2 linked regions of the Danio rerio genome follow. The protein of the gene in region 1 interacts with the protein of each later gene in a biochemical or structural test. Links are inferred from orthologs where the notes say so. Each region holds a gene or a part of one and is shown on either strand. Other genes may lie near its edges.

Region 1 (4,360 bases):
CCTCTGCGTGCTCCGGTTTCCCCCACAAGTCCAAAAACATGTGCTGTTGGTGCATTGGGTAAGATAAATTGTCTGTTGTGTATCAGTGTATGAGTGTGAATGAGTGTGTATGGATGTTTCCCAGTGATGTGTTTCCACTGCGTAAAACATGCTGGCCCCGGATTATAGAGGGACTAAGCTGAAAAAAGGAATAAATGAATGAGTGAATACATTATATTTTTTATATAATTATTTAAATATTTAATTGCATTATATTAAAAAAAATCTGACAATGTTAAAAGTTTATTTACGTTAGGTCCGAAAGACTAGCCCATTGTTCTTCAACAAAATCTTATATTAATAGCAAAATAAATATGTACAAATGTATTTGTGAAAAATATTTATCTATAGGTTTTGATATGAAATATAGGCTACAAGACATATAGCCTGTTTGTAAATGTTTTTGTAATTTAAAAAAAATTCAACTTTAAGAAATACACAAATGTGTTTTTTTTCTTCCGGTGGTGGGTTGCAGCTGGAAGGGCATCCGTTGCATAAAAAATGTGCTGGATAAGTTGGCGGTTCATTCCACTGTGGTGGCCCCAGATTAATAAAGGGACTGAGTCAAAAAGAAAATGAATATATATATATATATATATATATATATATATATATATATATATATATATATATATATATATATATATATAATTAAATTATAATTAAAATACATATAAAATATAGGCTATATTTCTTATTTAAATATGCAAATATTTAGATCTCTTTTATACAAGAGCTATATACAAGGCTAAATATAAAATTAAACAATTACTATAAAATACAAAATATAATCTAATAAAATAGTATAAAACAAATATTATACTCTCTTATAGTATATGTATGAACATTGTTAGTAAAATTGTGTAAAATGAACTATGTAAATTAAAGTATTATACTCAGTTTTCTAAACACACAAATAATACATATAAAATTGAATATAAGAAATATTAAATAAAATACAAAGTTTAAAATGTTGAAATGTAATCAAATTCTAAATATAACAAAATAATATATATAAAACAAACATGTATTTATGTTTGTATATAAAATGTAATTAATTGAATAATGACAGATAACTAGATTATACAGTGGGAAAATAGATAATATATTTTATATAGATTATAATAATATAATATATTTTATATAGAATAAATTGTAAATCAGTTATCAGATATTTTTTTCTAAATGGAAGTGTTTCACGTCTGCTCTGATAGCAGTGTTTTTAAATCATCCTCGGTGTTTTTCTTCAGCGTCTCCTTATGTTGTCATTCCATCAGTCTGCCGCATGAGGACGCTTCGCCTCTTTTCTTTTATAAATCGGCCCCCACATCGAACAATCGGATCCCGGAGACAATCTGAAGAAGACGAGGCGTTTCCAGTCGCTGTCTGGTCTGCTGTGCCTTCCTGACCGTCTCACGTCGCCCTTCTCCATGATCGGAATACGAAAGGAAAACCGCTAAACGAACAATTTCCCAGCTCGGTGGATCATGGAAACGGAGAAAAACCCTGAAACGAAGATCAAAAGATAACGTAAGGCGAGGAATATGACGACAAATGGACATATTTTTAACAGTCGGCGATCTCGAAGCGGATGTTTCCCTCTTCAGAAACTGTGTGTTACCATCCAGGAGGCTCGCGGAGTCGGGATGTCCCATATAACTGCGCTAAACTCCGATTAGGCAAATGTATGGGACTCGTGCTCTGGAACAAAGGGGAAAACAAAGTTTGACGTGATTTGTTAATTAGCTTCGTTACTACAGACACAGACTGCCAGTAGTCAGATTTCACACTCATCAGCTTACATTTTATGGGGGAAAAAACTAAACAAAACAATGAAGCTTACCGCAAGAAGATAGTTTTCATACTATTTTATAGCCATTCTGAAAGGATGAACATCAGCTTTTGAAAAATATATATGATGCTGGAGTCTCCAAAGCACACATCTTCTTGCCTGGTTGGACTCTGAAACCTGGACAGCTGTATAATTAATTGAGGATAAAGCCGAATATACTGTATTTGAAGAAAAAGGAGAGAAAAAACATGGCAGTTGAAGGCCGAATAACAATTCTTGACGTTGGACTGATTGCCATGGTGGTTCTTCTGGGTCCTGTGGCTGGTAAGTAGTAGTTAACAGATAGTAGCAATAGAAAAAATGACAGCAAATATTATAGAATTACAGTAGAATTGCTGTCCACACCCTGGTTTTCCAAATCCCTCCACATCCTCTCAAAGTCAAGGCGTAATTAATTGTATGTTACAGTGTGTGTGTGTGTGTGTGTGTGTGTGTGTGCGCGCGTCCTGTCAGTGTTGTGGTGAATTCACTGCCACCCACATCCATCAGGAACTCTTCATTTCCTGAGAGTGAGTGCTTGTGTATTTGTGGATAAAAGTAACAAAGCGAGGTGTGAGAGTCAGTAAAACCACACTTTTTATGTTGTTGTGTGTGGATGTATGTGTCTACACACACACAATCACACACACATTAAGTGTAAATGTGGATTTATGTTTTTTTCCCTATTTATTTTAACCAAAACAGTATTTTTTGTTGACCTATTGTCATTTTATTTTATTTATTATATATATTTTTTTACAAATAAATGCTGTAATAATCGATTTAGTAATATCTAATTGAAAATGTGGAAATTATAAATACACATTAACAGTAGCTTACATAATTCATTTCATTTTCTTGTGGGCTTAGTCCCTTTATTATTAATCCGGTGTTGCCACAGCGGAATGAACGTTAACTTATCCAGCAAGTTTTTACGCAGCGGATGCCCTTCCAGCCGCAACCCATCTCTGGAAAACATCCACACACACATTCACACACACACTCATACACTACAGACAATTTAGCCTACCCAATTCCCCTGTACCGCATGTCTTTGGACTGTGGGTGAAACTGGAGCACCTGGAGGAAACCCACACTAACGCAGGGAGAACATGCAAACTCCACACAGAAAAGCCAACTGAGCCGAGGCTCGAACCAGCGACCCAGCGACCTTCTTGCTGTGAGGCAACAGCACTACATACTGCGCCACTGCTTCGCTGTATAAAAAATTAAATTAAATTAAAATATAAGCACAGATAATAAAGAAATAATCAGTGCTTTATGTTTTTTTGGAGGAAAATTACAGTATTGAGGTAAAGAAATTTAATTATAAAATCTAAAATGACACTTTATAGTCTTCATTTGAAATTATGAATACACATTAACAGTAGTTTATACAATAATACACATTAGCACTTTACAAGCATGTACATATTAATTTAAGAGCAAAAATAACTTTGATACAGTCTCTTCCAGGGCTGCTCAATATATCGTTTAAGCATCGATATCACAATATGTGTATCTGCAATAGTCACATTGCTTTATTAGATTATTTATTAAAGATTAAAATATAAATATGTCATTTTAATATGATTGTATAAAATATTTAAACAATGATGATTGTGTTATTTTGTTCGATTGTTAATTTTTGTATTTGAATACTGTTAAATAAGCATAAAACATTGTTTATTTCACTTTTATTTTTGCTCCGTAGTATTTATATGTGATGTTAATTTCTTCCAGTTAATGCAGATTACCCAAGTCGTACTCAAGAAATCTGTCCAAATAGAGCTATTCAAATCATCTGGTGAAATTATACTCATATCGTGGCAAAACAAACTAATGCAATGTAAGATTTTTTTAAATTGTGCTGCTGTAATCTCTTTATTGTTTTTATTACAGAGCTGTAGTGCCCTGCATAAATGAATCCATTTAAAAGAAATGTATTTATCTGTGAATTGTTATCCAATTTAACAGCAAAAATCAGTACAAGGCACTCAAAAAATGTGGAAAATATCAAAAAGTCTTTATTCACATGGCTAAAGCTTAAAAACTAAACAAAAAACAAAACAGGTTTTTAAGGATTAGCCATGTGAATAAAGGTTTTTAAAATATTTTTACCCAAAGAGCTCCATATTTGGCTTCAGTACTGACTTATTTAATGCATATGTGCACATGTAATATTGTATAGCTTCCTATTGAAAATATGAATTTAAAAGAGAGATTTGTGACGGGTGTACTTATATATGCTGAGCACTGTATGTCTCTCCTTGTGTGTGTGTGTTGGCTCTGGCACAAGCCCCTGAGCTGCAGTAAAGGGCTACTGAGCATCAAACAGATAAGATAAGAACTGACCCTGCTCATGGTTCATGTGCGGAGAATAAAGGCTAAACACTGATTAGCTGAAAAGACAAGCATGAAACTTAATTTTGCATTTTGCGGTTTGATGCTTAAAAGGCTACATTATGGCTGGCAGATTGGCCTTCTCTC
Region 2 (4,162 bases), about 42 Mb from region 1:
TTGTAAAAGCACTATACAAATAAAAGTGAATTAAATTAATATTATATTAATTATAAGGCCGTGCTTTATATAATTAAATTATTTTTTAGTTAATGTACAGCAAAAAAAAAAAAAAAAAGTAGGTTTGAGTTCTCTTCATTTATCGAGTTTTACTGCTAAAATTGCTTCATTTACTTAAATGTTCACAGTGCTCCTTAGAATTAGTTTTTGAACTCAAACGATTTGTTGCAATCGGCTTCCTCAAATGGTTTGAGTTCTTAACTTAGTGGGTTTTACAGTGATATTATGTACTGCCATGATGGCAAAGACAAAAGATATTCATTCATTTTCCTTCGGTTTAGTCCCCTTTTTTTTTTTCATCAGAGATTGCTACAGCGGAATGAACCACGACTATTTCAGCATGTGTTTTATATAGCAGATGCCCTTCCAGCCACAACCCAGTACTGGGAAACACCCATACACTCATACATTACAACCACAATAGTTCATCCAATTTCACCTATAGTGCATGTCCTTGGACTGTGGAGGAAACTGGAGCATCCGGAGGAAACTCACACCAACATGGGGAGAACATGCAAACTTCACACAGAAATACCAACTGGCCTAGCCGTGACTCAAACCAGTGGCCTTCCTGCTGTGAGGCAACAGTGCTAACCCCTGCGCTTTTTGCTAAGCACTGGATTATTTAAAAATAATCTTCAACTATATATAAATAATGCAATTTATATTAATCTATTTGCACAAAATATAATTTAAGCTTACAAATATGCATATATTACTGTATATTATAATTTTTCCAGAGCTGCTGTTTGGCAGATTAGGTTTGTTGGTGACAAGTTAAGCCTGGACCTGATTTTAAAAATCCTGTCAATATTTTTCTTTTTGATAAACAAAACAGTTAATGATCAAGGTCTCCTGCATAACCCTTATTAACCCTCTCTTTAATCAAAACACTTTCTATTTTTATCCTTCAATCTAATAAGAAAACTAATTATCCTGGTCTGGTATGCTCATTTGTTTTGATAGGAAAGCAGACAGGCATCAGCATGCCTAAAACACACACACACAGATACACACACACACACACGCACTTACAGTCATTTCTCTAGGGGTGGAAATTCCCAGTTTAACACTGAGTCAATTAGATTACATATTAAGGACTGTCCCACTATTCAGAGTTCATCCGTCACTAACGGTTCAATAAAACACAACACCAAACCAACATGCTGAAACACCTGATGACCTTTGAGTGTTATTTAGGCCAAACAGGCTTTTGAAAGCTATAAGTTTGACCATTTAACAGGCACATGCACACATAGGGCTCAACCTGTACAGTGCACATGCCCTTTTTAGTTTTGGATAGAAAGTGCCCTTCCAAAATGATCTGAAGTGCCCCAGCGACAACCACACCTCTCTTCTGCACACCTCAGTTGTAATGAGTGGTTATTGGAGTTATTGTTGCCTATCAATTTAATTTAGTATTTTTTTTATTCTAAGTTTGCGTTAACGTGCAATTGTACCTAATAAAGTGGCCAGTGAATGTATATTGTAATATGAATATAATTTCCTGAGGCGATTTGAAAGGCTCTATTTGGAGAGACTTTTTCTATGCACTGCCTCTTCACATCGGTCACATCCATAACGCAGAGATGCCACATCCATAATGAAGATTCTTCCTCATAAATGCAAAAATATGAAATAAAATAAAATCTGTCATGTTTGTTCTACAGTGAGCCAACTCTTCTCCTGTTAATTAGCATTTTTTGGGGGGTTGTGCAGTTTAATTCACAGAATTTCTACAAAGTATGTTATATATTGCAAACTCGCAGACTTTTTTAGTCACATCAATAACACATGTTTATGTTTTTTATTTAAAATATTAATATGTTTAAAGATTTATATTTTTCTAATCTTATAACTCTGTGGTTAGTAGCTTTGGAAAATATCAACAGATGTTTTAATATAATGTTAACTTAAACTTTCTATGTGAATTTGTGTTTTGAGTTTTTACTGCAAATGTCACATCCATAACACTGGTATTGCTCAAATATGTTATGGTTATGAGATTATTTTTACTGCTGAACACAAACACAAAGATTTTTTGAAGAATATTAGAAAAAAGTTTGATGAATGTTAGAGACTTTTAATTGACTTCCATACTAGTAAAAACAAATACTATGAAAGTCATTGGTTACTGGTTTCAAGTTTTTAAAATATATTTGGTGTATATATATATATATATATATATATATATATATATATATATATATATATATATATATATATATATATATATATATTCTTCTTTTAAGTTCAACAGATGAAAAAAAAACTAAAACAGGTTTGTGATTGACGAAGGGTGAGTGAATGTCAAATTTTCAGTTTTGTGTGGACTATCCCTTTAAATTATTAAGTTATTATAAAAGGTAAAGGTGTTCCTGAGTTTAATGAAGCACAAATAAACATTTTACTTATTAAGGCTACATTTATTTCTTTTTAATAATATACTTACGTGATAAGAATTTAAGTTTAATAAACTACAGTGACTTGAATCTGAATGAAATTTTAGCACTAAGTTAATTAATCAAAATCATTAAACACGAGCACTTGTGCTCATTGAGAAAATGCTAGTATGATTTAATGGTAATTTAATATACTAAAACATTTTTATTAATCGGTTGATGTTTGTGTTACGTCACGATCACAAAATTGTGTGTGTATTTTGCCTAAATGAACTAACGTTAAACGGCCTATATCTGACCAATACACAAAACTAACAAAATCTACCTTTATCCAGCGCTTTTTCGGCCTCCAACGGTTTAACTTCAAGTGCATTGCTGAATCGAAAAACATTTTATTCCTCCTCCTTCGTTAGCCATTTTACACGATAAATCCTCTGAATAAACCAACTGTTGATTTGATTCAGGTGTGCTCGAAGTCAACAGGAGGACGCCATTACCGGCCGCTACTTTCACAATGACGTCACTTCAATTGTAGTCTCTGTGTAATTTCTGAGGGTACATTTACACTAAAAAAGTATTTTAATTTGCTCATTCGACGTGCATGACGACAACATTGTTAATACGATCACCATTTTACGAGATTTCACAAAAATGATACGAAAAACACTGCAAAACGCCTGTCATACGCATGAGGTCATTTTTTAGACATGTATGTTGATGTAGCTTACACACATAACACACACATTTTAATTATTCATTCATCATTCATTTTCTTGTCGGCTTAGTCCCTTTATTAATCTGGGGTCGCCACAGCGGAATGAACTGCCAACTTATCCAGCAAGTTTTTTACGCAGCGGATGCCCTTCCAGCCGCAACCCATCTCTGGGAAACATCCACACACACACACACACTCATACACTACAGACAATTTAGCCTACCCAATTCACCTGTACCACATGTCTTTGGACTGTGGGGGAAACCGGAACACCGGGAGGAAACCCACGCGAAGGCAGGGAGAACATGCAAACTCCACACAGAAACGCCAACAATTGTAATTATTATAATTTGAATAATGAAGCTTTTGTTATTAACCTATTTATTTTGTTAATTAAGTGTTATATTCATAAGTGTACATTTTCCAACAAAAAACCTGTTTTACTGTGTTTTATAAGAAACTGAAAAATTACTTTTGCACTGCAGCATAGTGCTAATGGAAAGGCCATTAAAACTGTCCAACTTTGTTCTAGTTTCAATATTTTTGATTAATGTTAAGGTCCTGCTTATTCATATTTGTAAGAATTTTAGTTAAGTATTAATACTCTTGTTTTTATGTTTGTTTTATTTTATTTTTTTAATTTTATGTATTGATGCTATAATTTACTTTCTATCGCCCTGGCATTGTTGTGTTTACTATATTGTCATGTATGTTTTTAAAGCATAATAATAATAAAAAATAAATAAATACACAAAAATGTATTTTGTTTTATTTATATAGATATAATAGCTATATATAATAGCTATATATATATAATTGCTATATATAGCAACTTTTCTTCTAAAATAAGCATTTTTCTGCAACTCCTGTGTGTAGGCTCAGTAATTTTACATTTATAGTGACGGATAAGTTCTTTTCATTGCCTTTTAAGAGAAATAAAAAGAGAATTTTTCTCAGCCTTCTATAAATACATTAAATAACTTTC

What was found. The genes of interacting proteins can lie anywhere in the genome.
Region 2: the proteins of bmpr2a (region 1) and gdf5 form a complex in vitro, tested with the Homo sapiens proteins (2 studies listed by BioGRID and IntAct, with this or other methods). The link is inferred for Danio rerio from reciprocal best matches to the Homo sapiens genes BMPR2 and GDF5.

What each region holds. Positions count from the first base shown.
Region 1 is NC_133181.1:13,807,980-13,812,339, reverse strand, and holds the start of bmpr2a (bone morphogenetic protein receptor type-2a), read left to right. Parts: upstream 1-1,416; 5' UTR 1,417-2,079; coding exon 2,080-2,155; intron 2,156-4,360. UniProt on the Homo sapiens protein: On ligand binding, forms a receptor complex consisting of two type II and two type I transmembrane serine/threonine kinases.
Region 2 is NC_133181.1:55,394,125-55,398,286, forward strand, and holds the start of gdf5 (growth/differentiation factor 5), read right to left. Parts: upstream 2,878-4,162; 5' UTR 2,788-2,877; intron 1-2,787. UniProt on the Homo sapiens protein: Growth factor involved in bone and cartilage formation. During cartilage development regulates differentiation of chondrogenic tissue through two pathways.